4 linked regions of the Stegostoma tigrinum genome follow. The protein of the gene in region 2 interacts with the protein of the main gene of each other region in a biochemical or structural test. Links are inferred from orthologs where the notes say so. Each region holds a gene or a part of one and is shown on either strand. Other genes may lie near its edges. The genes, in order: ube2m, rbx1, ube2g2 and ube2f.

Region 1 (7,545 bases), about 14 Mb from region 2:
TGATAACCTCAGGCAGACAGGCAGATGGGGAAGAGCTGACCAGCTGCTGGGAACAGAATTCACATTAGTCGAGAGAGAGGAAGTGCAAGGACGATTGACACAATAGGGTCCTCAACAATAATCAGCTGCTAGTACCTAAAAGCAATCAGAACGCTTTTTTTAAAGACGAAAAGATCCTCCATACGGACATACAAAATTGGAGCAGAAATGGCCATTCAGCCCCTTGACCTCGCTCTACCAATCAATAACATTATGGCTGATTTGTTTGCTTTTTGAATTCCACATTCTCATCTGCTCCTCATGGTCATTTGAATCAAAAGCTATCAAGAATTTATCTACCTCTGCCTTAAAAATATTCAGTGATCCAAACTACATTGTCCGCTGAGGCAAAGTTACACAACTCTCAGAAAACAATAAATCCCTCATCTTTGTGCAACAGGGTCCCCAAGCTCTGGCTTCACCCACAAGAGGAAACAGCTTTTCCAAGTCCATCTTATCAAGACCATTCAGAACCTTACACATTTCAATCAAGTCACCCCTTCTAAACTAGTGAAAACAGGCCCTGTCTGTCCAACCTACAGATAACCCGCTCATCAGGTATCAGTCTGCTAAACCTCACCTTAACTGTCTCCAACATATTTACTTCTTCCCTTAAATAAGAGGCCAACACCATAAAGAACACCCCTCACATATAGTGCTTTCTAACTTGTGGCACTCAAATTATTAGATATTTAGAAAATAAAGTAACCTTGAAATTGACTGAACAGTGCTCATTTTCCAATATAAATCTTTCAAAACATTTTGGAGAACTGACAAATATTCTAAAAACATATTTATGTAGAAAGAGCACCTGTACTCTCTTTGTATTTGGTCAGTTCCCCTTTCTTTCTCCTTATCTGATCAATACAACCTCAGGATTTCCCTACCTTAGGTCCTCTTGTGAGTAATGGTCCGTTCCTCCTGCCCCTATCATGATAGACAACAGGTGCTGGAGTAGGCCCTTTGGTCCTTCGAGCCAGCACGACCATTCATGGCCAATCACCCACAATCAGTATCCTGTTCCTATCTTATCTCCATAACCCTTGATTCCACTACCTTTAAGAGCTCTATCTATCTCTTTCTTGAAACTGTCCAGAGAGTTGGCCTCCACTGCCGTCTGGGTCAGAGCATTCCATGGTCCAGTGATCTGTAAATCGTTGACACTGGATAAAGCATTTCCCAACATGTGTCCCCTTACACAATCCAAAAATACGTGGGGCTCAGGTAATGACAGAATTCTGCAGAGCAGCAGTTATTTTGGGGATGGCATTCACATTTTCATAGAATCCCCACACTGTGGAATCAGGCCGTTTGGACCAACGAGTCCATATCAACCGTCCGAACTGCATCTGACCCAGACACATCCCCCAACCTATCCCTGTCAACCTTGGGTCAAAACCAATGACTGATCAGCTGGATAAAGGCTTAGGAAAGAAAGTGAAACAGCATTCAGAAATCCAATGCCTGTCCATGAGTGGGCATGATGAATGGCTAGCTGGAGTACCAGCTACTGCCGCCACCTTTTGTCAAAGATTAGAAATGGATGACTGGTTATGTGAGGAGATTTCCAATGTGGATGGATGTCAGCAGCAGTACATTCCAAGTGTACAGGCCAAATAAAATCTAGAAATTACAGCACTTTGCCTTCGAGTCAATAAGAGCACTTCAACAGGAGCTATGTAGTTACTTTCCCTTGAAATATTTTATATTGCAGCCTTTCAAAGGCTTCCCCAGCTTCCTCTTAAATGATAACATAAAATATTCCCCAGAGTGCAGCGCAGCACACTCTAACAACTATGTTTGGAGAACCTCCAACTTCTTCCTTGCCCCCACAGGCCATCCCATTCAAGCATAGTCATCAACTTGCCAATGTGTGAAAACCACCTTCTGCAACTGATGTTTTGTGATTTTAATAAAACTCCATCTAGCCCCAATTTCAAACTAGCATTGCAAGTATGGGACTACATATCCTTCTTTGTCTTAACGCTTTGGAGAAGAAACCTGATATTTTGTTGGCAAATTTCAAACTTCTTGGGTGCTGGGACAACCGGTTCAGGAGTCCAAGGAATGGTAACCCTGGAATTGGTGTCGGTGGCAGATTACAAGAGTGGAGGCATTGAGAGGGTAGGGATTATATCAGTGTCGAAGGGAGGGGGTGACGGATGGGCTGAGGTGACAGATTGCAACTGCGGTTCCCCTCAAGAGACGGCAACACGGTGGTCAAAGACCAGAACTGGTACCAGTTACCAGGCAGTTAGGAAGCAGTTGGCTGTAGCTGCCTCACCCTGGCAGATCAGTGCTTTCATCAGGAGCCCACTGAACCTGGGGGAAATCCCTGACACCCTCTCCTCACCCCACAGTCAGGCCATAATGAGGGGAGGAAAGGGGTGGGGGCAACTGCACCCAACCCTGGGGAAGGGCGTTCTGAGGAGCCCAGCACCCAGATCCTCTCCTCTGTCTCTGCCCGCCGGCAATCCTGGGGTCTCTCGCAGTCCTGACCTCGGAGCAGAGCCCTCTCCACATGAAGCAAGCCGGTCGAATCGGATCCCAGGCTCCATTTAAGGCCTAGCTGCTTCCAGGCCTTCCTTGTGGGTCAGAGGCCGGTCTCCAACCCCCGCCGACAACAGTACCCCTTGCCCCGGTGCCTCAGAGAGGCCTGGCCCGCCGATCCCTTCACCCTCCCCTGGGCCCTGGCTTCGCCGAGCCCCCGGCCTCCCGTTACCTTTCTGAATGCGGAGCTGCGCGGCCGACGCCTTCTTGGTGCCGGTCTTGGCGGCTCCGGCGGCGTCCTCTTCCTTCTTCTGCTGCTTGAGCGAGAAGAGCTTGATCATGATGCGGCGGCGGCGGGGCCTCGGGACTCAGGCTGAGGGTCGGAGGGAGACACGGAGCCGCCGCTCGGGCAGGGAGCAGAGCGCGGGGCAGCGTGGGAGCGGAACGGGTCAGAGGGCAAGGGGGCGGGGTCAGCCCGTGGATGGTTAGCGGGCTTGGGCGGAGCCAAGGGAATGGGTGCGGCTAAGGCGTTGGGGCGGGGCCTAATAGCGTTGGGGGCGGGTCTAGAGGACGCGGGCGCTGTTACCGGCGTGGGCGCGGCTACATGTGACTGGGCGGAACTAAAGAATGGGGCGGGGCTACATGGGAGAGGGCTGATCTGAAGGATATGGGCGGGGTCAGTTGTGTGAGTATGGATACATTGGGGGGGCGGAGCGAGAAAACGTGAAGCGGGTCACAATAGGTGGGCGTGGCTAAGTGACAAGGCGGAATTTAGAGGTGAGGGCGCCGGTGCAGGAGGGGCGGAGCTGAATGATGGGGGAGGAGACTATTCAAAGTCTAGGGGCCGAAAAGGGGGCGCGGCAGGTTGCAAATGGGCGGGACTGATTTGAGGGGGCGTGGCCAGGTGAGTGACATGGGCGTGGTCGAGTGAATGGGGCGGGGCTGAATGGGAGAGGCGGATCTCCTGCAGTTTGGCGCACTGTGTTGAATGCTCAAGTTCCTGCTCATTTCACACGGCAACACCACTGCACAAAAACCTAGATAGGTCTAGGCCCGAAACGTCAGCTTTTGTGCTCCTGAGATGCTGCTTGGCCTGCTGTGTTCATCCAGCTCCTCACTTTTGTTATCTTGGATTCTCCAGCATCTGCAGTTCCCATTATCATTGCACAAAAACCTAAGTACTTTAGGTTGGGATGGAAGTGGTTGGTGAAGTGGATGAACAGTTCGCACGAGGAAGGGTCACCGGACCCAAAACATTAACTCTGTCTCTTCCTTCACAGATGGTGCCAGGCCTGCAGAGCTTTTCCAGCAATTTCTGTTTTTGTTCCTGATTTACAGCATCCACAGTTCTTTCGGTTCTTACACAACTGCACCTTGAGCAGTGCAGGAGAAGGAGAGATGGCTATAACACAAGGGGAGATGGGTGTCACACGATGGGGGGAAAATGGGTGCCATACAAGGGGAGATGGGCATCACATGATGGGGGGCAATGGGTGAAACACTTGCAAAATAAAAACCGAAAGTAAATCAGGAACAAAAACAAAGCTGCTGGAAAAGCTCAGCGAGTCTGGCAGCATCTGTGACGGAGAAAACAAAGTTAACATTTCGGGTCCGGTGATCCTTTCTCAGAACTTATAACGCTTACAAGATGGGTTACGCACAGAGGTGGGAAATGAGAGACACATTTCGCAATAAGCGACACATTCTGTGGATGGTGACACAAGAGACAGTGAGTGACACACTTAAGGGGCTTGAATGGCTCACGAGGCTCCAGACACATCACAGGCGATTTAAAGTGATAATGGGAACTGCAGATGCTGGAGAATCCAAGGTAACAAAGTGTGAAGCTGGATGAACACAGCAGGCCAAGCAGCATCTCAGGGGTCCAAAAGTGACGTTTCAGGCCTAGACCCTTCATCAGAGCCCTGATGAAGGGTCTAGGCCCAAAGCATCAGCTTTTGTGCTCCTGAGATGCTGCTTGGCCTGCTGCGTTCATCCAGCTTCACGCTTTGTTATATAGGCGATTTAAAGTTCTTTTTAAAGCATAGACACTTGTTGCCATGTGGGAAACACAGCAGGCACAAACAACGTGATAATGGGATTATCTGTCAGTTAGGTCAGTCGCGTGACAAAGCAATTCACATTTATGTTTGTGTGTGTAGACATTTTCTTTTCCTTATTCTATAGCAGATGTACCATGCTGGGAGCATACTCATCCCTGAGTCAAAGAAATGTGCGTTCCACTCCAGAGACTTAAGCATAAATACCCACATTAACAATGAAGGTTGCAGATGCCATCTCTTGCCCTCTCAGATAAATGTCAAAGCTTCCATTTCCCTTATCTCAAAGGAGAGCAAGGGAGACATCACCAGTCCTGGCCTATATTTAACAAAGACCTGTGGATACTAGAAATCTGAAACAAAACCAGAATTGCTAGAGAAACTCAGCAGGTCTGGCAACATCTGTGGAGAGTGAAGCAGAGTTATATTTTCAGTCCAGTGATCCTTCTTCAGCAGAGAAAGCCACAGGTGGGTAGAGGTATTTATGCTGATAACAGACGTGGGGTGGGGTTCGGGTTGAGTGGGTGGAAAAGTTGTCACCACAGTCCCACTCTTTCATTCGAGAGAGACAAGATTGGTGATATTTTAAACTAAGGATCACCATGCCCCAGGCAAGGGAGGACGCTTCATGGTAGCTTCAGTCCATATGTGAACTGAAACCACACAGTTGGTATCAATCTACATTATTAAACAGCTGTTCAGCCAACTGAGCTAACTGAGTTATATGGATTTATGTGCATTTGGAGAGGCAAGGAATGAATAGTAATAGCATGGTTTTGTGCAAGGAAAATCATGTGTCACAAACTTTATTGAGTTTTTTGGATGAAATAACTAAGAAGATTGATGAGAGAAGAGCAGTACACATTGTTTACTTGGGCTTAAGTAACACCTTTAACAAGGTTCCACATGGCATACTAAGTGGTCAAGCACGATCACATGGGATTCAGGGTGATCTTGCCAATTGGATACAAAATTGGCTGAACAGCAAGAGACTGAGGGTGATGGTGGGAGGGTTGTTTTTCAGACTGGAGGTCTTTGACCAGCACTGTTCCACAGGGATCAGTTCTGGGTTCTCTTTTGTTTGTCATTTATATAAATGATTTGAATGAGAATATGGAAGGCATGGTTAGTAAGTTTACAGATGACGCCAACATTGGTGGCATCGTAGACAGTGAAGAATGTTTTCTAAGATTACAAATGGATCTTGTTCAAGTGGGTTAATGGGTTGAGAAATGGCAGATGGAGTTCAATCTGGATAAATGTAAGGTATTGCATTTTGGTACAACAAACACAGGTAGGGCCTTGGGTAGTGTTGTAGAACAGACAGGCCTAGAGTGCAGGTACATAATTCTTTAACGTTTGTGTCACATATAGAGAGGATGGTTAAAAAGGCACTTGGCATGCTAGTCTTCATTGCTCAGTCATTTCAGCATAGGAGTTAGGACGTTATGCTCGGATTGTACAGGACTTTGGTGAGGCCTCTTCTGAAATACAGTGTCCAGTTCGGGTTGCCCAGTTATAGGAACGATATTATCAAGCTGTTTACAAGAAATGCTGGATAGGCTTAGACATTTTTCACTGGAACGTAGGGTGTTGAGAGGTGAACTTATAGAAGTTTATAAAATAATGAGAGGTATAGATAGAGTTGATGGAGTTGTCTTTTCCCTAGGATTGGGAATTTCAAGACTAAGGGGCACATTTTTAAAGTGAGAGGAGAGAGATTTCAAAAAGACATGAGGCGAACGTTTTACGTGCTGTGTGGTTTGCGTGTGGAATAAACTTCCTGAGGAAGTGTGGATGCATGGTACAATTACAATGTTTAAAAGACATTTGGATGGATACATGAATAGGAAAGGTTTTTAGGGATATGAGCCAGGAACAGGCAGGTGGGGCTAGTTTAGTTCGGGATATGTTCGGCCTGGACTGGTTGGGCCGGAGGGTCTGTTTCAATGCTGTATGACTTGATGATTCTAGGAAATGGTGGATGTGGATATAGTTACAATGTTTAAAAGACATTTAGATGAGTACATGAATAAGAAATGTTTGCAGGGATATGAGCCATGGTTTGGGATTATGGTTGGCTGTATGACTTTATGAGTGAGACAAATAAATGGAGATGATGCCCAGAGGGATCCGAAGGGATTGCTGATCATAAACAGGGAGAGAGATAAATGCTAAATGGGTGCTAACGACAAGTCTGAATAGTTGAAAATGGGTTGGCTGTGCTGGGAATAATCCATGCAGAAGAAAGCTTGGGGGTGTGGGGTGGCTAATGAACGTGGAGATAGTTGTTAATGCTCTGAAATTGTTCAACTCATCATTGACTCCCAAGGGCTGTAAGGTACTTAGGCAGAACATGAGGTGCTCATTGTCATCTTCTTGTTCCTTGTTGTGTTGAGCCTCGCTGGAGCACTGCAGCAAACCTAAGACAGAAATGTAGGCAATGGGAATATGGCAATCAATATTTATTCCTTAATCAATATTGCAAAGAAAAACTCATCCAGCTTACATCTGTGAGACTCCTGATGGTTTCCAACTTCCTAGTGGGTTGTCACATGGGACACTCAATCCTTCCATAACTTCTGAAACCCTCCAGGGCAATCTGGGGGCTCTCCACTTCCTCCTTGAATGGAGGCCAAACTGGTCACCATCCAACAACATCTTCGTTAGCCTGGCTGCATTTGTCCTGACAATGAATGGCTTCTCAATTGACTTGCTTAAATTAAAGATGTTGCTATGGGCAACTGCATAACTGCACTTGCCTGTTTCCGGAGCATCTCATGTTCTGATCCCACAGCTCATCCTTCAGAGTATTCATAACTGTCACTGATGCTTTGCCCAGCCTCTCCTTTTAAATTGGAATACATCATCAGTTTTGCTTCCAATTCCACTTTAATCTCACCTTCACATGGTCCACCTCAGACTCTCTCTTCCTCAACTCACTACTTCCATTTCT
Region 2 (7,156 bases):
AGTAAATGGACAATTGCACGCCCCCTTTCGCACTGCGCTCTTGAAATATCTTAGACTGGAATAATGCTTTCCTAGTTCTGATTTCAGACCCTGGTTTGTGGTGCTGTGTACGTGCAATGTCAATAAAAGCATGACATGACGTTGAAGAGACACTTCCACTGCATCATCCCATCAAGTTTGTAAATGCTTCGTATACCGCAAAACTTTGAACGCAAAATAGTTTAAAAAAAAACTTACACAATCCCTCAATTCAGTTTTCAAGTAACTCTTAAAATAACCTCAAAAAAATGAAAGAAATATCATTGGACTTCTGTACCATCACATTATTTGCAGATATTGGACAAACCACACCATAACCAAGTGGGAAATAAGTGGACAGTCTGGAAAAACTCACATCAGCAGAACAACAATTTAACATTAAGCTCTAAACTGAATGTGATATTAGCTTCAAATACTTATGACACTTTAAAAGAGGATCACTGCCTACTGATGGGGGGGGGAGTGGGAGGAAGAGAAGAAAAGAGAGAGAAAAAGAGACCTAGACAGAGAGTTTTTCTTTCCTTCATCTACTTACAAGTTCTGAATCTATTACTAAATTCCTTTCCCAATTCATTCCTAGGATGCAAATATCAACAAGTTTGGCATTTGCTGCCCATTCTAAAAGGCCTTGAAAGGAGTTAACTTGGCAACTATTAGAAACTGAATTTAGCATATTCTAGTTTCCGTAGTCACCTCCAGACCTACTACATTCCTGATCACTGCAGCATCAGCAGCCATGCAGTTCATAAAACAAACACAGTCATTGATATGTCCACTAAGAAATTCAGGGTGAAGGTACTAAGGTATAGCTTAGATGTACTGCAATTAAAGGGAAGCAGGATTGGTACTTAGGGAGAAAGGAGTAAAAGAATATGCTGGCAGAATGAGATAATGTAATAAGAGAAATTAGTGAGAAGCAAATACTGGCAGACGAGACTGCACTAAGTGTAACACAGGTATGTCAGATAAAGACTGAATGACCAACTGCACAGCTTTCTATAAAGGGCCAAATGAAGAAATATCATTAAAGACTGCACTCACCACAAATGTTCATGCTTAGGCTGCACCTAAATTTGAGAAACTCAAGGGAATTTAAACACTTTGGGGCAGTAAGTTCCAAACTATTTTGAAAACAACAACCTCAATTGGAGGAGCAAAAGCAAAAGCAATCATATCACAAGAACTGTCTCCCCTTAGATAACAACCAGCATCACATCCCAGACAGCATCCAGCCTTACCCTGCTATTGTCTGGTACTCTCTATGGCCAATGGGCTACTTCATTTCTTTACCACAGAAACAAACAAACAAACAGTCATATAATGTTTCTTGCAGAAGCACTCCCATTTATAAAGTCTGGTCCCTGGTATCGGGTGCCCCCAAGCTGAACAGTGGCGTGTCTCAGCCAACCCAGAACTGTGATACTACAGAACAATCTGGGATCCAACATCAGTCACCTGAAGACTAGAGTCTATATTTCTGCTCTTTTCTGGCCAACATGCCAGATCCATGACCCAGATTGGCTCACGTTAAATCACTGCACACCCCTAGAGTCAACCACATTGGTGTGGATCTGATGATACATGTAGGACAGACCAAACATGGGCAGCAGTTTCCTTTTCTAAAGCAAATTAATGAACCAGATGGGTTTTTCCAACAAACAGCAATGATTTCATGTCATTATTGGACTCCTCGTTCCAATTTTTAATTAGTAAATTCAAGTTCCACACCTGCCAAGACAGGATTTGAACTGAAATCACCAGAGCATTAGGAACAATACCACTAGGCCTTCACACCGATCCAGGTACACAAAATAACATTTATAAAAAGACATCATAAAATTTATTATTATGTATTTGTAACAATTACATGTCAACCTATAATACAACTTTTAAGTTTACACAGCATTTTGACAATGAATATTTGTTTTTCTCTCAAATAACTGAGAAAAGTGAAAACATTTGTGAACAATGGAAGTGTCTCTATTACTGTTAAATGCATGCAGGGACAAGGGCTACAACCCCTCAAGTCTGATGACAAGTTTACTTCTGAACTCACTTGCACCATTGAAAAGCTTTTTTTTAAAAAAAAGCAAGAACTTCTTGCACAGGGTAGGACTCATTTTTTTCTAATACATTGAAATCATTTAATATAAACTGTAATTAACTTAGTTCTCTGGGATAAAGGAATAAAGTTGAGGACTCAATACATTTAACTTTTCTCTTCACAGATGCTGCCAAACCCAGAGTTTTTCCAGCAATTCCTATTTTCAATTACAAAGCAATTCTTACTTTTATTGTTAAACAATATACCAAAAATGCACGTACGAATGTGAGCGGGAAGTGAACTGTTTGTTTCTGTAGAGTGTTAAAATGGGTCCGTACTGGAAGATACTATCAGGAGCTGCTGGTAACAAGTCCACACCCGCTCCTCTGGTCATCTGTCTCCCTGAGAAACAGACGTGCACCCAGCGGCCTAAAAACAAACACATGTATGTGACAGAGGCCCAATGACAAAGCAGCAAGCGAGCAGTCTGCGCCTCTCAGGAAGGGCAGGCCGGGGGCGTGCGAGCGTGTCAGACTAAGATGGCAGGAGGTGGGAGCGGGATGAGATTTAGGGGGCACGGAGACACTAGGGGCGCAAGAACCTGCCCAATGCTCTTACGGTTAGCTCACGGCCACCATTAGTCAGCTGGTGCTGCCAATTAAGCCGCCAACATCCGGTCGTGTTTCGATCCGCTTCAAACTGCCAGATTTGGAAACATCACACGTTTCAATACCCAGCCCTGCTCCGTTGGAAGCAGTCTGTATCCTGCATCCTAGCATACTGTACCTTCTTAACCTCGAAGCGCTTCTTCCCGCCACTGTTGGTAGAGCTTGGTGCGTCCACATCCATTGCCGTCGCCATTTTGTCTGCCTTCAGCCGGTGGCTACCTGTTGCCAACCAATCAGCTATGTTCAATTTGCACATGCGCAGCCGACTGGTTAACGCCCCGCCTACTTAGCGTCACGAGGATCCCGACAACACTAAACTTCAAAAACACTGTACTCAGCCCCGCCTCCTCCGGTATGGAGGGGCCAGGAGTCCACTAAGCTCCGCCTCTACGTCACATGTTCTCGTCTACACCCCGGAGTTTCCGTTTCCTCTCTTGTGGAGGTACCCAAACAAAAGTCCTGCCCCTTCGCAACGCGTTTCTGGCCACGCCCACTGCACGAAGCAGAGCTCCACCTCCTCCCGCTATTTCGCCACCAAACCCGCTGTACATCAAAGGCCTGCCCACCTACTGGCACGTAAACATCACCGTGTGGCGTCACAGAGCCACGCCACTTTCCGTAACGTCACCCCAGTAAAGCCTCGCCTCTCTATGTCGTCACCTAGTACCGCCTCCGATGGTAGGACCACCCGGATGAGATGCACAAAGCCCACCCCCAGAAGTGACCGCCTACACAAAGCACCGCCCCCATCTCGGCATGGCGCCACCTGCAGGTAGTGGTTTGCCGTGATTTCTTCCTCACCCCCACGAGGCCATGGCCGCTGTTATTGGGGATCATTGCCCTGTTGTTACCATCCTCACCACCAGGAAATCAAATCCCTTTGTGTTTCAATTATGTGGAATTTGATTTTTATTGGAGTTGACGTCAGTTGTGCTTCATCGAATACAACTGAGCATGTTGAACGTGGAATATTCCGAGGGGTTTGATAAAAGCAAATAGTCGAAGCAAAGATAGAATGCTGGCAGCTTGAACGCAAAATTCTTCCATAAAACTTATGGATACTGGAAGAGTGGTAAAAAGATAAGCAGGGCCAATTGGAGACCAAAGTGGGAATTTGTGCAAGACTTGGTGGAGATGTGAAATTAGCACTTCAAAACTTTTCACAATGTAGAAGATACTGATCACACCTTAGCGAGACTAAAACACATGAATTGGAGGCTGGAGCAGGCCACTTGGTGCTTCTAGCTAGCACGGCTGATCTAATTTCCATCAGTCTTCACAGTGGAATTCACCAGCAGCATACCAGAACTGAAAGAATGTCGATGAACAGAGATGAGTGTGGTGGCCATCACTTAGGAGAACATACTTGCAAGGCTGAAAGGTCTGGAGGTGGATAAATCACCAGGACCAGTTGGACTACAAGTGTCTGGAGGAGATAGCTGAGGCGATTATGGATGCATTGGAGGATCTTTCAGGAATTACTGGAATCAGTGAGGGACCTAGAGGACTGGAAAATGGCTGATATAACACCTGGTTAAGAAGGGATGGAGGCCAAAGACTGGAAATTATAGGCCAGTTAGCCCTGGTCAATCATTGGTAAGATTTTAGAATCCATTATTAAGGAAACAAGATGGTTTTTTTTAGATTAGATTCCCTACTGGGTGGAAACAGGCCCTTTGGCCCAGCAAGTCCATACTGCCACTTGAAGCATCCCACCCAGACACATCTCCCTATAACCCACGCAACCCTGAACACTACGGGCAATTTAGCATGGCCAATCCACCTAGCCTGCACATCTTTGGACTGTCGGGGGGAAACCGGAGCACCCGGGAGGAAACCCACGCAGACACGGGGAGAAAGTGCAAACTCCACACAGACAGTCACCCGAGGGCGCTGTGAGGCTGCAGTACTAACCACTGAGCCACCGTGCCGCCCCAAATTGTGTTAGAGGCAAGGTATTGGTTGAGCCAGAGGAATGGCTGACTGGCAGAAGGCAAAGCGTGAGGAATCTGAGCATGCTGATTAAAAATATCGACATTGAAAGTTCTTCCATTTCACATTGAAATGTTTTGAAGTGATTCACCCAAATAACTACTTTTAAAATTGATCCACAGAATAATATAGCAAAGAAGGAGGCCACTTGGCTATTATGTCATTACTGGTCCTTCAAAATAACAGTCTATTACACGGCTCTTTATCCCTGGCCCTGGAGGTATTTTCCCTTCAGATATCTAGCTACTTTTGAATCTGGTTCCGTCACGTTTTCAGTGATTTCCAGATCACAAGTGCACTTCCCTCGTGTCATCTCTGTTCTTTTGCTCATGAAGCCTGACATCGGTGTTGGGAAAGTTGTTGGAGGGGATCCTGAGGGACAGGATTTACTTCTATTTGGAAAGGCAAGGACTGATTAGGGATAGTTAACATGGCTTTGTACATAGGAAATCGTGTCTCGCTAATTTGAGTTTTTTGAAGAAGTAACAGGATTCATGAGGGCAGAACAGTGGATGTGATCTATATGGACTTCAGAATGGTGTTCGACAAGGTTTCTCACAGCTGACTGGTTTGTAAGGATAGATAGCATAGAATACAGGGGGAACTAGCTATTTGGATACAGAACTGGCTCAAAGGTAGAAAACAGGGGGTTGTGGTGGAGGGTTGCCTTTCAGACTGGAGGCCTGTGACCAGTGATGTGCCACAACAATTGGTGCTGGGTCCACTGGTTTTTGTCATTTGTACAAATGATTTGGATGTTACTGTAGGAGGTATGGTTAGTAAGTTTGCAGATGATGCCAAAATTGGAGGTTTAGTGACAGTGAAGAAGGTTACCTTAGAGTACAACGGGATCTTGACCAGATGGGCCCAATGAGCTGAGGAGTGGCAGATGGAGTTTAATTTAGATAAATGTGAGGTGCTATATTTTTGAAAGGCAAATCAGGTCAGGACTTGTACACTTAATGGTAAGGTCCCGGGGAGCGTTGCTGAACAAGACACCTTAGAGTGCAGGTTCATAGTTCCTTGAAAGTGCAGTTGCAGGTAGGTAGGATAGTGAAGAAGGTGTTTGGTATGCTTGCTTTTATTGGTCAGTGCATTGAATAAACGGGTTGGGAGGTCATGTTGTGGCTGTACAAGACATTGGTTTGGCCACATTTGGAGTGTTGTGTGCAATTCTGGTCTCCCTCCTATAGTATGTTGTGAAACTAGAAAGGGTTCAGAAAAGATTTACAAGGATGATGCCAGGGTTGGAGGGTTTGAGCTATAGCTAGAGGCTGAAGAGACTGGGGCTATTTTCCCTGGGGAGTCAGAGGCTGAGGGGTGACTTTTATAAAGGTTTATAAAACCATGACGGGCATGGATAACGTAAATAGGTATTTTCCCTGGGATGGGGGAGTCCAAAACCAGAGGGCAATAGTTTTAAGTTGAGAGGGGAAAGATATAAAAGGAATTTAAGGGGCAACTGTTTCACGCAGAGAATGGTGTGTATATGGAATGAGCGGCCAGACGAAGTGGTCGAGGCTGGTATGATTACAACATTTAAAGCATTTGGATGGGTACATCACTAGAAAGGGTTCAGAGGGATTTGGGCCAAATGTTGGCAAACGGGACTAGATTTATATAGGATATCTGGTCGGCATGGACAAGTTGGACCAAAGGATCTGTTTCTGTGCTGTCTATGTCTATGACTCCAAGTGACTACATGGTAGACAAGTGCAGCAACATTCAACAGAGTTAACATTTCACGTCTGGTATGGCTGTCCTTCAGAAGTCATACTGAACTCAAATTGTTAACTGTTTCTCTCTGCATAGATACTGCCAGACCTTTTGGGTTTCTCTAGCATTCTGTTTGCTTCAGTTCCAGCATCTGCAGCATTTTGCTTTTATTTAAATACTTTGTCCAATGTTTCTTAACCAGGTTCATACTTCATTTTTAGGTATGTCTGACACTGCTTCTGGCATGCCCTCCTCCATTCTTGTTTGAACCAGGGTCAATCGCAAGTTTGTTCATTATGGGAGCGCGCTAGGCTGTCAGATTAGAGGTTGTAGTGGAATGTAATTCTACTGCTGATAGTACACAGTACCTCATGGATGCTTAGTTTCGAGTTGCTAGATCTCTTTGAAATCTATCCAATTAGCTGATGGTAGTGCTGCACTATGAGGCAGGGCAGTACAGTGTTTGGCACTGCTACCTCACTCCGCCAGCAACCACAGGTTCAATTCCAGTCTTGGGGGACTCTCTGTGGAGTTTGCACATTCTCCCTTTGTGTGCATGGGTTTGTGCCAGGTGCTCCGGTTTCTCCCACAGCCCAAAGATGTGCAGGCTAGGTGGATTGGCCATAGTAAATGCAGGGTTATGGGGATAGGATGGATCTGGGTGGGATGCTCTTTAGAGGGTCAATGCAGACTCTAT
Region 3 (7,299 bases), on a different chromosome or scaffold from region 2:
ACATGTCTTGGCGCAGTCCAAGAAGACAATTCACAACCACCTTCTCAAGGGCAACAAGGAATGGGAAATAAATGCTGCTCCAACCAATGACACATGAAAGAATTTTTCAAAAGTAGTCAGCAGGTCCTGCAGAATCTGTCCCATGAGTCACAAGTGAATTAAAATAAGATTCTACCTTCATGGACGCTGTCAGACCAGAGTTTTTCCATCACTACTTGCTTTGGTTCCTGGCTTCTAGCATTAACAGTGTTTCCCCTGTTTTTTGTCAATAAAGTGCAGGTTGTTATGATATTGCTGTATGTGAGATCTTCCTGCATATCACTTGCTGTGCAATGTACAACAGTGACTGTATTTCAAAAGTATCTCACTGGTTGTGAAGTGCTATAGCATAGCCTGAGGTCTTATAAAGGAGTTATTTAAGTTAAGCCTTTCTTGCAGAATTAAACTTGTAACATGTTTGGGGACACCGGCGACATTACTTGACAACATGCAAAGCTGCTGCTGCCGTAAGACCTTAAATGCAAGATATGTAGGCCATGCAGATGATTAAACGTGTTCTGACATTCAATTAGTGTGATCTAATTATCGTCAACTCCACTTTCCTACCATTTCCCCATAATCCTTGATTCGTTAACTGATTATAAATATATCTTCACCTTGAATAAACTTATGGACCAAGTGTCGATAGCCCTCTGCAGTAAAGAATTCCACAGATTTACTACCCTCTGAGAAGAAATTCCTCCTCTATCTTAAAAGAGTGATCTCTTATTTTAACTCTCCCACAAAGAGGAATAACCTTTCTGCATTTATCCCATCAAATTCCCCGAGAATCTTATACATGTTTCAATGAGGTCTCCTCTCATTCTTCCAAATTCCAATGAGTACGGGCTGAACCTATTCAACCAATCCATGCAAGAAAATCCCTCCATACCTGATGTCAGTCCAGCGAATCTTCTCTGGGCTGCCTCTACTACAAGTTTATCTTTCTTTATCTAAGGGGGCCAAAACTGCTTGCCAAATTTCACTGGGTTTTGACTGGTGCTTTGTGTAGTTTTAGCAAGGCCCTCCTACTTTTATACTTAACTTCCTTTGAAATAAAGGCCAACATTCCTTTTGCTTTTCCTATTACCCACTGAACATGATTGCCAGTTTTTCATGATTCATGGATGACGGCTCCCAAATTCCTCTGTACTGCAGCTTTCTGTGGTCTTTTGTCATTGAAATAATATTCAGCTCCTCTATACTTCCTGGCAAACTGCATAACCTCACATTTTCCAACATTACATTCCATTTGTTAAGTTTCTGTATACTTACTTAATATGTCATATCCCTCCACAGATTCTTTGTGTTATCTTCACCACTCACCTATTTTGTGTCATCCTCAAACTTTCCTCATCTAGGTCATTAATATTTGTATGATAAATAATTATTATGTCAGCACTGATCCAGGTGGTATTCCATTTGTTACAGATCCCCATCCAAGAATTGAACCCTTTATCCCAACTCCAGCTAACTAATATAAAACGAACCTTATCTATGTTAATGTACAACTCCCTGTTCCATTGACTCTTATTAATTAGCCTAATATGTGGTACCTTATCAAACACCTTCTGCAAACCTAAATATATTAAATCCAATGTTTTCCATTTATCTATACTGCTTGCCACGTCCTCAAAAGAACTTTAGTAAATGTCAGGCATGATTTCTACATCGTAACTCTGCTTGATTATGTTATGCATTTCTGAAAAACTATTAATTCCTTTATAATAGACTAACATTTCACCAACAACAGATATTAAGCTATCAGTTCTACAGTTACTGTTTTTGTCTCCCTCCCTTTCGGAATAAAGATATTACCTTGGCAATTTTCCAATCTTTCGGGCCCTTTCCAGAATGTAAGCAACCCTGAAAGATCACCAGCAGTGCATCCACTATCTCTGTAGCAACTTCCTCTAATATCCGAGGACGCGACACATCAGGACCAGGGGGAATTTCTCGATCTTTCACCCAATTAGTTTCCCTAGCATTTTTTTCTCTACTGATAGATTTATTTTCTCGCTCCCTTTTGCCCCTGGATTACTTAGCAATGTCAGCCCCATAGCCATGTCACTCAGTTTAGAGTAATCATAACGATGACAAACTAGTGGTTACTACACTGGAACAAAAACAGAAGTTGCCGGAAAAGCTCAGCAGGTCGGGCAACATCTGTGAATAAAAAATAGAGTCAGAGTTAAAGTTTCATGTCCGGTGACCCTTCCTCAGAACAGCAGGAACTATACTGGAATGTGCTGGTATTAATTAACATTTAGCCTTGGATCAGCAGCGACACTCTCACCTCTCTGAGACCTGATCGCACGATGTGGATCATTGATGGTCTCAATACCGTCTGCCTGTCCAGGAGAAGAATTCCCCGTTCAATATTCCCTACGTTTTTCCCTAATTCAGGTGCCTTCAAACCCAAGGCCTTCCCCCATCTCCAGTGGGCTCTTTAAGTGGCCCCAGTGATAATGGAAACTGCAGATGCTGGAGAATCCAAGATAACAAAGTGTGAAGCTGGATGAACACAGCAGGCCAAGCAGCATCTCAGGAGCACAAAAGCTGACGTTTCGGGCCTAGACCCTTCATCAGAGGTCTGATCATCTGATGAAGGGTCTAGGCCCGAAACGTCAGCTTTTGTGCTCCTGAGATGCTGCTTGGCCTACTGTGTTCATCCAGCTTCACACTTTGTTATCTTTAAGTGGCCCCAACGCCCGATGATCCGCCGCCTCTGGGCAGTCCCAAGGCTCCAATGCCCTCCCGGGCGCTGAGGCCTCTCTCTCTCCCCCGGCCAAACCCCTCACCTCTACGTTCACAACTTACGCTTGTACTCGGCCATCAGCCGTTTCAGCGCCGTCCCTGCCATCGCCGCGACCGTTAACGACGTCACGAACGAGAGGTTGCGGGGAAGGAAGGAGAGTAAAAGAGGGGGGAACGGTTACACCGACGCACCCGTCCTACTTCCGGTGGGGAGGGAGGGAATTCAGCGACGGACCCCCCCGCGCTTCTTCCGCTCCTTCCTTTGTCTTCGCCCCGTGGGGGACATGCCAAGATGGCGTTGTTGCTCCGTGTCCTCTGTCTCCTCGTCGGCGTGGCTGCTCTCGGCGGCGGCCAAATGTACGGGGACGGGGGAGCTTTCAGTCCCGGGCAGACAGGCGGCAACGAGGCGTCGGTGGCTCAACAACGCAGGTAACGGACGGGGAGCAAAAATATCAAGAGGGGCGGTCAAAACGGAGAGGAGTAACAGTAATAACGGTCAGAAGAGACAGTAATACTCAACGGGATCAGCATTAATGGTGAGTGGTGACAGTAATACTCAACGGGATCAGCATTAACGGTGAGTGGTGACAGTAATACTCAACGGGGTCAGCAATAACGGTGAGTAGCGACAGTAATACACAACAGGGTCGACTATATCGGTGGGAACGGACGGGAACGCTCAACGGGGTCAGCAATAATGGTGAGTAGTGACAGTAATACTCAACGGGGTTGGCAACAACGGTGAGTAGTGACAGTAATACTCAGTGGTGTCGGCAATAACGGTGGGAACGGACGAGAACACTCATCGGGTTCGGCAATAACGGTGGGAACGGACGAGAATGCTCATCGGGGTCGGCGGGAACGGATGAGAACGCTCTTCGGGGTCAGCAATAACAGTGGGAACGGACGAGAATGCTCAATGGGGTCAGCAATAACAGTGGGAACGGACGAGAATGCTCAATGGGGTCAGCAATAACGGTGAGTCGTGACAGTAATACTCAATGGTGTTGGCAATAACGGTGGATAGTGACAGTAATACTCAACGGGGTCAGCAATAACAGTGAATAGTGACAGTAATACTCAACGGGGTTGGCAACAATGGTGAGTAGTGACAGTAATACTCAACGGGGTCGACAGTAATGGTGGGAACGGATGAGAACGCTCAACGGGGTCAGCAATAATGGTGGGAACGAATGAGAACGCTCACCGTGGTCAGTAATAACAGTGAGTAGTGACAGTAATACAAACAGGGTCGGCTATATCGGTGGCAACGGACGAGAACGCTCAACAGGGTCAGCAATAGCGGTGAGTATTGACAGTAATACTCAACGGGATCGGCAATAATGGTGGGAACGGACGAGAACGCTCAACGGGTTCAGCAATAACGGTGAGTAGTGACCGTAATACTCAATGGAACGGTGGGAACAGACGAGAATGCTCAACGGGGTCAGCAATAACAGTGAGTAGTGACAGTAATACTTAGTGGGGTCGGCAATAACGGTGGGAATGGACGGGAACGCTCAACGGGGTTAGCTATAACAGTGAGTAGTGACAGTAATACTCAACGGGGTCAGTTATATCAGTGGGAACGGACGGGAATGCTCAATGGGGTCAGCAATAACAGTGAGTAGTGACAATAATATTCAACGGGGTCGGCAATAACGGTAGGAACAGATGAGAACGCTCAATAGGATCAGCAATAATGGTGAGTAGTGACAGTAATGTTCAACGGGGTCAGCAATAACGGAATGGACAAGAACGCTCAACAGGGTCAGCAATAGCGGTGAGTAGTGACAGTAATGCTCAACAGGGTCAGCAATAATGGTGGTAATGGACAAGAATGCTTTTTGGTTACTTATAGGATAGTAGTCCACAGTGTAATTTTTCTTTCTAACGCTTGTGGGATATGGGTGTTGCGAAGTGGACCAGCACTTATTTTCTGTACCCAGGTGGTCAATCCACCTAATCTACACATTTTTGCACTGACAGGAAACTAGAGCACCCAGAAGAAAGTAACACAGACACAGTCACCCTAGGCTGGAATTGAACCCAGGTCCCTAGTGATATGAGGCAGCAGTGCTAATCAGTGAGCCACTGTACTGCTGTTGTGGGTTAGGGAATGGGGGAGGCAGTAGGGAGCAGCGATGGAGGTGATGGGAATGGTTGGAGAGAGGGTGAGGGGAGAGCAAGGAGTGAATAGAGATTAGGGAGAGCAAAAACTGGAAGGGACGGAGAGTGAGGTAAGCTGGACATGGAGAGTAAGTGGTGCGTGGAGGGCGGATGAAAAGAGGAGGGAGAAAGGGTGGAGCAAGGCAGCTAGGGAGAGAGGGGGCATTGGATGGTCAGGAGGGGCAAAACATTGAAGATAGAAGAGGGGGAAATGGGGGAGGCAAGGGCGAGATCACAAGTCTAGAGGCAATGTGAAGGTGAAATGGGACGATGGGGGGCCGGGGGGAGAGATGAGGGAGGCTGGGGCAAGGTGAGGGGGGAGGTGAGTGGGAGGCAGAGTTGGGGTTAGGGACAGAAGGAAGTGGGAGTCGGGTGAGGCCAGGGGGTAAGGAGAGAGGGAATTGGGGGGAAGATTGGTGTTCAAGGGGGAGGGGAAGGCTAGGGGTTTGAGAGGGGAAGCTGGAGTCAGAGAGGAAAGGTGAAGTTTGAGGGGGGGAAACAGGGAAAGGCAGATGGTGCACAACATCGGTGGCATAGCAAGGGAGAATCGGGGTAAGATGGGAGGCAGGAATGGGGAGTTGAGTCGGGGTGTTGAAGGGAATGGTCAAGTGAGGGGGATTAGGGAAGGGGTACAAGGAGACAGGAAAGAGAATATGGGGGAGGAAGGTGTGGGGAGGGAAGATGGGCAGAGAGCGGTTGAAGAATTTGGTGGATGAAGCTGATGGTGGTGATCTGGGGGAAGGCAACCCTGCTTGTGGTGGAGAGGGGAATGTTGGTGGTGAACAGAGGTAAGTGCTGATGTGGTGCATTCTGGGGAGTGGTGGGCTGGTGTTGAGTGTATTTCGAGAAGTGCAATAGTGTGGGAAAACAAGAGGAATGGTGAGGGTTGGGGTGGTTTGGACGAGTGGTTGGATAATTGCAGAATGGCGGAGTTGTGTGTCGCTTGGAGGAATATGGAGGTATCTGGCGGGTTACTGTAGGGAAGTGATAGTAGTATAGTTGGTGAGGATGGTGTGTAACTGTTGTCATGAGAATTCATGGGTCCTTATTTGATATTGAGAACTCCAAGGGAAATGTCTGTTCGACTTGTGCTGCCCCCTCTTTCAAATTAGTCTGTGGTATATGAATGTCATTGGCGGTGTCAAAATTTATTGGCCATCCCTAGGTGACCTTGATAACAAAATGTGTTGTTGGATGAACACAGCAGGCGAAGCAGCATCTCAGGAGCACAAAAGCTGACATTTTGGGCTTAGACCCTTCATCAGAGAGCTACAAGAGCGTTGCAGTGGGAGAGAGATTCCCTGAGATTGGACCAAAGGGAGGAGGGTAACTTCAGGTTTGGCATCCCTGGAAGAGGCTTTGCACTGAGGTTAAAATTGTGATCAGAGATAATGGGTACTGCAGTTGCTAGAGAATCCAAGATAACAAAGTGTGTAGCTGGATGAACACAGCAGGCCAAGCAGCATCTCAGGAGCACAAAAGCTGACGTTTCGGGCCTAGACCTTGCTGCTGGTAACCTATAGGAATTTTAAAAAGCAAACCATTGTAGATTCTCTCCTATTGGTGTGACAGAGCTAACAATGTGTGGGAAATTATAAGGTGAATGACTACGAGCCGAAAGGACAGTTCTCCTGGTTTGCTATTGGCAATAAAAATGGCAAAGGGTGCCAAAATGACAGGAGGAATATAATCAGTAGAAAATGAGGTGGGTTAAGCTCTGTTGTATTAAATGTTATGCATAATTCTATCAGACCCGCTGATGGCTACAAGACTTTATCATCAAAACTTTAACTGCCTTTACCTTGTCACACTGTAGTTACAGCTTCTAGAGATGATGCACTGCCATCACCAGTCGGAAGTGAAATTAAATTCTCACATCCTATTCTGTTACACCATTCTCATCACATTCAGCCCTAGTCCTCACCCACCCTTAGCTACTCTTTCCGGTACTGCAGAAATATAATCTATTACAATGCACTTTGTGACTCTTAATAACAGAGGACATAGAATATTTCTATGAAGTGCAATATTTTATATCCCTTTAGGTATTTATTATATGATGTGAATCCACCAGAGGGATTTAATCTTCGTCGAGATGTCTATCTCCGTATGGCGGGCTTAGTGGGCACCCTGCTGAAGAGTGAAGACTGGGTGCTGGTTCTTCCTCCCTGGGGGCATCTCTACCATTGGCAGAGCGAAGGTCTTAAACAAGTTCGAATCCCTTGGTCTTTATTCTTTGATGTGCCAAGCTTAAATAAGAACATTCCTGTCATTGAACACGAGCAGTTTATTGCAGGTACCTTTAATTATAACCTGCCTTTGGAAATTCTGATT
Region 4 (7,444 bases), on a different chromosome or scaffold from region 2:
AGTTTATTTACTCAGTTGTGGACACAGGTATCCCTCAAAAAGGTGGTGTTGATGTCCCCGGACAGACAATTCCAGGATTTAGACCCGGCAACAGTGAAGGAACACTTAACATATTTCCAAGTCGGGATGGTGAATGGCTTGGAGGGGAACTTGAAAATGGTGATGTTCTTATGTATCTGCTATCCTGGTACTTCTTGATCAAGTGGTTGCGGGTTTGGAATTAGCTGTATCAGGATCTTCAGTGAATTTTTGCAGTGCATCTTGTAAATAGTACGTACTGCAGCTGCTGAGTGTTGATGGTGGACGGAGTGGATGTGGTGTCAATCAAGTGGGTGGTTTTGTCCTGGATGGTGTCAAGCTTGAGTATTGTTGGAGCTGAACTCATCCAAGCAAGTGGGGAGTACTGAAACACACTCCTGATTTGGGACTTGTAGATAATGGACTGGCTTCGGAAGTCAGGAGGTAACTTATTCATTGCAGTTTTCCGAGCTTCTGAGCTGCTCTTGTAGAAACTGTATTTGTATGACGAGTCCAATTTTTAAAGTTCCTTATTCATTTACATGATGAGGGCGTCGCTGGCTAGGAAGCATTTATTACCCATCCCTTATTGCCTAGAGGGCAGTTAAGAGTCAACCACATTGCTGTGGGTCTGAAGTCACATGTTGGCCAGACCAGGTAAGGATGTCAGTTTCCTTCCCTGAAGGACATTAGTGAACCAGATGACAAATCGACAATGGATTCACAAGTCATCATTAGATTCTTAAATCCAAACATTTATTGAATTCAAATTCCACCTGCTGTGGTGGGATTCGATAGTAAGATTACACAGTATTTGAAATTGGAAGTTAGGGCCGTGGGGCCAAACTGGATCTGGTTTAAAATTAAATCGAGTAAAATTGAGACTGTTGTACAAGGTCATCACAGAACAGTGAAGTGGTATCTGAGGAAGAGACAAAGTAATTACAGCACAAAGTTTGATTGGCTAGGTAAGCTCATGTTGATTCTGAGTGCACCAAGGTACTAGTTTTGAGGTGCTGAAATGAAGTATTTTTTTGATGAAAAAGCAGCAGTAAATTTCAAGGGCAAATCAAATAAAATAAATTGAAAATCTGGCAAAAATATATAGTTAACTACCCATCCTTAAATGGTCGGAAAAACATGAATGAAATTGGTTATTATTTTCATAAAGCTTCATACACCAGAGTACTTGGTTTCACTGAATTTCTTTTCAAAGAGAATGAGAAATGTCATCCTTTACCCCGCGAAGCTAAGAAATGAGAGTTGTTGAAGGTACTCCGGGTGTTGAAAAACTGACCCTTGTGGAAACGTGATTCTCTTTGACAAATATTTTAAGCTGTATTCTGTAAAGTAGGAGTACTGAAGATACTGCATGCACTTTGGGATAAAATGCTCTATGAAACATGAGTGTGCCAAAGTTGTAGTGAGATCCTGTTAGTTTGAAACTAATGCAGAAATGAAAGCAATTTCTGCTTTTTTTTCTGAAGAAAGGTCTAGGCCCAAAATGTCAGCCTTCCTGCTCGGCCTGCTGTGTTCATCCAGCTTTACACCTTTATCTCTGAAATAAATGGCCTGGTTTAAAGTAATTAAATTAATTAACTGTTAGCCCTTTTCAGTAAAGGAGGTCAAAGAAGTTATTAGGGGTTCTGGAGGAGGGTGATCTTGCAATGCAAGGCTCTGAACACAAAATGGAAGTCTTTATGCGTATGACAATTTAAAAAAAATTTAAAGACACGGGAGGAATTGTTTATCGCTGTGTTAATTTATCTAAAGGATAGTGAGCATTAATTGGGGACTGACCTACACTCAGAGCAGGCGGAACGGAGGATTGTTAGTTGGAGGTGCATGATGTACAACATGGCTGTAAATAAAAGCTTATAGGTATACAAAAACTAAGTTCTGATGTTCTATCATGGCTTACTAAATACGAACATCCAACGCTCACCACAATATCCTGTCAAATTTAATACATGCACATCTAAAATTATGGAACATGTACTATAACAACAACAGTGTCTGTAATGCTGCAAACCACACCACTGACAGAACTTGTAGGTCACAAAACCGCAACAAAATGAAATCCAAATTGGTAATGGTATTAAATCGTATTTAGTAGAATATCAAACAGCAGACTAGATTACTCAAATACAAACTGTAGTATAGTGCAATCTATGCCAGATGGTCTGGATTTCTAAAAACAATCGTATGTGTCTGTCATCCTCTTGGAGGTATTTCGTAAAGTACACCTTTGACTAACTCAATTATCCCCACTCGGTGGGGTTCCTGTTTTTAAGCTGTATCCATGTTCCACTGTGAAAGGGCATCATATGAATTGAACTATAGGCTTGTTGGGAGTAGATATACATTTATAGATGCCGCACACAACATGTATGTTTATATACAAGCTCTCTCCCTAAACATATATGCCGACGATGCACACCACTCTTGGTGTATCGCTCACCTACCCAGAAACTTGGAGGTTAAAACCCTATTTTTGATGATAAAGCCCAGTAGATACTGGAAACACAGCACTGCGGTAGGCTCTGGGTTAGAGCAGACTACACAGGCAGAGGTGCCAACCTCCAGATACTCCAAGGCCATGTTCGCCCTCATGGGGGCATGTAGAAGAGCCTGCGGTACTATTTCCAGGGTGATCTCCCTGATGCCCAATAACTTCCCTTCAGTTAACCTGATTAAAGCCAGAATATATCTGGTCAGGGTCACAACACGGCTTGTGGGATCCTTCTGTGCGCGTTTTGACTGCCCTCTTTCCCACAGCAGCGTGCGGCTCACTTGAGAAATGTTTCCCACGGTTACGGAAGGGCTCCTCACCTCGGCTCTCCCTCTCTGTCACCGACAGCACCAAGCGCTCCCGCACCATTCCCGGTGCCTCCAGCAACCGATCCCTCAACCGGCTCCGGCCGCGCCGACAGGCCGCTACCGGAAATCTCCTCACCTGGTCCCACCGCTAAACACCTCCGCCCCACCGCCCACCACTTCCGCTACAGGCCGCGGGTCCGTCACCTTTTTCTGTCCGCCGTTGTCTAGGGACCAACAAGCGGTACGGAGCCAAGGAACAAGTCCGGACACCGAGAGGTTCGGTACGGCCTCGGTCCGGGATCAGTTTCCAGAAGGCGAAGGAACTGCCTGGTGAGTAAGGAGATTGTTTCTCTGGTTTCCAAGGCTTGTTTTTGTAGCATTTCTGTATCTCTGGCCACATTCATGGGTTTACACTCTAAAGAGGGGTCATGACACTGGATCATTCATCCATCTGCCCTGGGGGTAGAACAGTTATAAAGCTACCTTGGCAGCTGGTGAAACTTATTTAAATTCTTAAAATCTCGCTTCTAAAGTCAGTCTCACTGATGTCACCAATGGTAAGGCTGTTGTAAAGGCTTAGCTGGCTTACTGAAGCAGTCTGTGGAAGGAAATCTGCCATCATTCCTTACCTTCTGTGTCCCCTGTGTGATTTCTGCAAAGAAAACAAGTGAGGTTTTGTAGTGGGGTCGCTGGTGAAACGCTGGGAGTAAAAATGAGTACAGTTCTCCTCTCAGACATATATTCTGGGTGTGAAACATTCAAAGCTCAAACATCTAACTTAACTTCTCCTTTTGTTTTGTGATCATCCTGCTGTATTATCATTTTTTTCAGCTTTTAAGTGATTTATGTGCAGGGAGGAGTAATCAAAACTGAGGTTCCAGAACCCTGAGGTAATGTTTTAGACCATCTGACAATTCAATACAAGGTATTTAGTATATTGTGTGAGAATGAGCAATGGAGAACAGAAAGGACAGTACTTATCAAAAAAAAAGGCCCTGGCAGCAAATAACCAAGTATAAATCTTTTTGAAGCCTCCAAAGAGTGTTGAAAAAATTAATCCATTTAATCAGATCCTCAAAAACTGCTTAATATTGAAACATTTAATTAATGATTAAAGCCATCAAGATCCTTTTCTTTTGGTGGTGAAAGAATAGCTGTCTTTGGTAGTTACAGGATAATTTATTTAATTGACAAAATATCTGTGTTTAATCACATGTAATGCATATCTTTAGCTTAGATGGGATTTTCCTTATCATGTTTGCATATTTATTCAAGCTGTTTTTGCAGTGAGTAGGATAAAAAGATTTCACTCTCTCAGTGGCTACTGCCTTAAAGAATGCAGATATATTCTAGGAGCTGACAGGAATGTTAAGAATCATTGGTATACCAGAGAGCTGTCACAGGTGAAATAAATGCTGGCCTTGCATTCCTCTTGGAAGCCAACTTTCCATCCTCTGGTTGCAGATGATAAGTGAATATATGGATGATGATGGGATAGTGTAGGGGGATGGGCTTAAATTAGTTCACAGGTCGGCGCAACATTGAGGGCCGAAGGGCCTGTTCTGCGCTGTATTGTTCTATGTTTTATGTTCTAAATGATTGTTGCCTCATGGAATAATTGAAAGAATTAGCTTTACTGTCATGTTCTCAAATGAGTACAGTGAAAAGTTGATAAGTTGCCATTTACAGTGCTATGTGAGGTACAGCTTCTTCAGTTACAGGACTAGCTACACGCTAACTAATGTCACCTGGACATGGTGACATCTGAGGTACAGATTACCACATACAATCCTCAGTTACAGAATAGAGAAATGGAAAGAAAGTTACATTACAGTTCCATACAGTATAACCAAAGTTAAAGAGACAAACCTCACAGTCTCGATCCAAGGGCTCCCAGCAGCAGGTAAGCGCAGGGGGTCTCTACATGCTCTGAACACTGGCAGCAGCCACACGCTGCACTAGGCCAGGCAGCTGGTTGCTGCCCCCACTTCCAAAGCCGGGAGGCCGAGAAGACGGAAGGGGAGAGGTAAACCGCAGAAGGGAGGCAAAGAGGGAGGAAAAGAAGAACAAGAACGGGCAGAATGGATGAGCTCTGGCTGAAGCATCAAACTCTGCCATTATCTTATCGGATGGTCCTGTAAAATGTGGGGTAATTGAGCCTAATGTGGTTGGCTCTTAACTATCCTCAAGCGTGATTAGGAATGGGTGACAAATGCATTCCTTGCTAGCAACTAATGAAAGAATTTTTTAAAATCCAGGACATGTTGTGAGATTCATAACTCAATCAAAACTTATTCACATGCCCAGAATTAAAATTTTTATCCAAAATCTGATTACCTTCTGCCAACTTGGTTTGAAAAATGCAGATGGGAACCATGAAAGAAATGTACAGTTGCAGTTTTGGTGCCATTCATAGGAAATTAAGAATCTATATTTAAACCCTATCCTCATTTGACGTGTCATTTTTGGTTCCTATCCACCTGAGCTAGATCTTCTTTCAACCCAGGTTAAGTTATCTACCTTCTGGTTTGGCAAATTCACTTCACTTTATACCTTGTTATTTTCCCTGACTGTACAAAGACTGAACATCAACCTCTCTAGTGCCCGAAGTGTCTTTGATCATTCCCGCTTTTGTTTGCTCCTCATCTTCCCTGAAAGCAGTAATGGCCAAATGGCCAGGAATATGAAGTTCCCACTCCTACCCATGTTAGAGCCAGGACTCCATTAATGCACGATATCATAACACTGTGGATACTTGTGCCTCTGGTTCACCAATATTTATCTTGCTAGGGAAATCAATTTTAGATCCTGGCTATACTGGCCTGTTTCGTGGATCTGTGAAAAGCCTTCTGTGTTCCAGTTCTAGTTGGGTCCTCCCCTGCTTCACACCGTGGACTGGACAACTCAGGAAACTGTACAGTGGAGATATGCTGCAAAAGTGCAAGGTGATGAATGCAGAGCTGACATCACCATCTGGTGGCAAAAGAAAGTCATTGCACTTGGTATTTACAATCTCTCAGTCAAAGACCAATCATTCTGCTTGACTTCTGATGCCAAACTGGATCGGGCACTTTTTTTAAAATTGAAGTCATTTGACCTTAAAGCAGTTGCAGTGATGTATATACGGCACATTGAAGTTATTACAGTTTCTGTGCCTAATAACTAGTCAAATAAAAGTAATCATCAATATCATCTATTAGTCTGTAGCATTACATCGTTTTATTAGCAATTAGCTTAAATTAAAGATCTGCTTGCTTCCTCAGACATAATTTTACAGCAAATAATTTAATTTAACTAAATTTTAAATTGCTTTGTGAAAAGTAAAACCACAAAGTCTTGTCATGCCTTTTATCTGGTTTTTGAAATACTTCTTCAGGCTTCTTGTTTTCTTTTTATAATTCTGGACATTCTTTCGTTGAGCTACCATAATCTGGCTGCCCTGAATATTAAGTGATTGCTGCTTCACCAGTTGTGAGTAGACTCTCTTTAAATTCAAATTGCAAAATTCAGTCCCACAGGATTCCTCTTCTTCTCTCCTCAGTTTCCCACCCGGCAATGTATAAAATAGAAACTCTGACGGCTGAAGCCAGCGGGGATTCATCCAACTTAAAGTTTTTCATCTGACATAACTTTTCCTTCCTGCCTGCTTATGTTCTAGGGGAGTGGAGCATGTGCCATTCCAACCCCTCATCCCCCATCCAATTGCTTGATAACTATAGGACAGTCACCCAATGTAAACACCGCAATTCCAACCCCTAATCTACAAAATCATCTCATTGCTTATCTCTTCTAAGTATATCACATGAGTTTCACAGGTATTCAGGTAAGTGAACATGAGAACCCCATTTTATCAGAACCAGTAATAGTAACTCTAGGCATAGGCCTTTATAGGCTTGCTTGATTTTCAGGCAATTGACTAACACAAAGACAGTACCTGTCGTTTAATTTCTGTAAAGTGGTGTGGGAGTATAGAAAAGAATGGTTTAGAAACTCCCAGGTTGATCCTGACAAGCAATCTCCTGTAGTCCAGCAAATTCTCCAGTCTGACAAAGGCCCTGTTTCAGGGCTGGTGAGTTAGGGAGGTACGACCTTTTAATATCAATCATCTTGATTTGGCTACACAGGATATTTAAAGCTTGTAGATAATATGAAACTTAGAAGTAGAATAAACAATAAGGAGGACAGTAGTAGCAGGACACAGACTGGTGAAAATGGGCAAATGCATGTCAGATGAATTTAGCGGGAAGTGCGTGGTGAAGCATTTTGATAGACCCTGAAGAGACAGGACAAGTTTAGTGGTACAGTTTTAAAGGGTTGCGGGGATAGAGAGACCCATGGTGGTTTGAGTACATAAGTCTTTGAAGGTGGCAGGGCAGTTACAGATGAGTACTTGAAATTCTTGGTTTTTGCTAAGAGGAATCGTGTATAACTGAAGGAATTTTGTTAATCTTTAATAAAACGGATCTCCTCCGATATAACATAAGGCTGGAGGTTTGCTAATGAAAGCACACTGTTCAGAAGCATTTGCAACTCCTCGGATACTGAAGCAGTTCTTGCTGTAGTGTAGCGAGGCCTGGACAGCACTCAGGCACAGGCCACTAACTGG

Evidence for each region.
Region 1: the proteins of rbx1 (region 2) and ube2m form a complex in vitro, tested with the Homo sapiens proteins (15 studies listed by BioGRID and IntAct, with this or other methods). The link is inferred for Stegostoma tigrinum from reciprocal best matches to the Homo sapiens genes RBX1 and UBE2M.
Region 3: the proteins of rbx1 (region 2) and ube2g2 form a complex in vitro, tested with the Homo sapiens proteins (3 studies listed by BioGRID). The link is inferred for Stegostoma tigrinum from reciprocal best matches to the Homo sapiens genes RBX1 and UBE2G2.
Region 4: the proteins of rbx1 (region 2) and ube2f form a complex in vitro, tested with the Homo sapiens proteins (2 studies listed by BioGRID). The link is inferred for Stegostoma tigrinum from reciprocal best matches to the Homo sapiens genes RBX1 and UBE2F.

What each region holds. Positions count from the first base shown.
Region 1 is NC_081391.1:19,879,766-19,887,310, reverse strand, and holds the start of ube2m (NEDD8-conjugating enzyme Ubc12), read right to left. Parts: upstream 3,004-7,545; 5' UTR 2,871-3,003; coding exon 2,762-2,870; intron 1-2,761.
Region 2 is NC_081391.1:5,552,180-5,559,335, reverse strand, and holds the start of rbx1 (E3 ubiquitin-protein ligase RBX1), read right to left. Parts: upstream 3,003-7,156; 5' UTR 2,945-3,002; coding exon 2,870-2,944; intron 1-2,869. UniProt on the Homo sapiens protein: E3 ubiquitin ligase component of multiple cullin-RING-based E3 ubiquitin-protein ligase (CRLs) complexes which mediate the ubiquitination and subsequent proteasomal degradation of target proteins, including proteins involved in cell cycle progression, signal transduction, transcription and transcription-coupled nucleotide excision repair.
Region 3 is NC_081360.1:17,279,994-17,287,292, forward strand, and holds the start of ube2g2 (ubiquitin-conjugating enzyme E2 G2), read right to left. Parts: upstream 3,007-7,299; 5' UTR 2,903-3,006; coding exon 2,860-2,902; intron 1-2,859. Other genes in the region: pofut2 (GDP-fucose protein O-fucosyltransferase 2), read left to right, coding at 3,089-3,225, 7,011-7,261. UniProt on the Homo sapiens protein: Accepts ubiquitin from the E1 complex and catalyzes its covalent attachment to other proteins. In vitro catalyzes 'Lys-48'-linked polyubiquitination. Involved in endoplasmic reticulum-associated degradation (ERAD).
Region 4 is NC_081360.1:19,939,750-19,947,193, forward strand, and holds the start of ube2f (NEDD8-conjugating enzyme UBE2F), read right to left. Parts: upstream 3,003-7,444; 5' UTR 2,851-3,002; intron 1-2,850. UniProt on the Homo sapiens protein: Accepts the ubiquitin-like protein NEDD8 from the UBA3-NAE1 E1 complex and catalyzes its covalent attachment to other proteins. Together with the E3 ubiquitin ligase RNF7/RBX2, specifically neddylates cullin-5 (CUL5).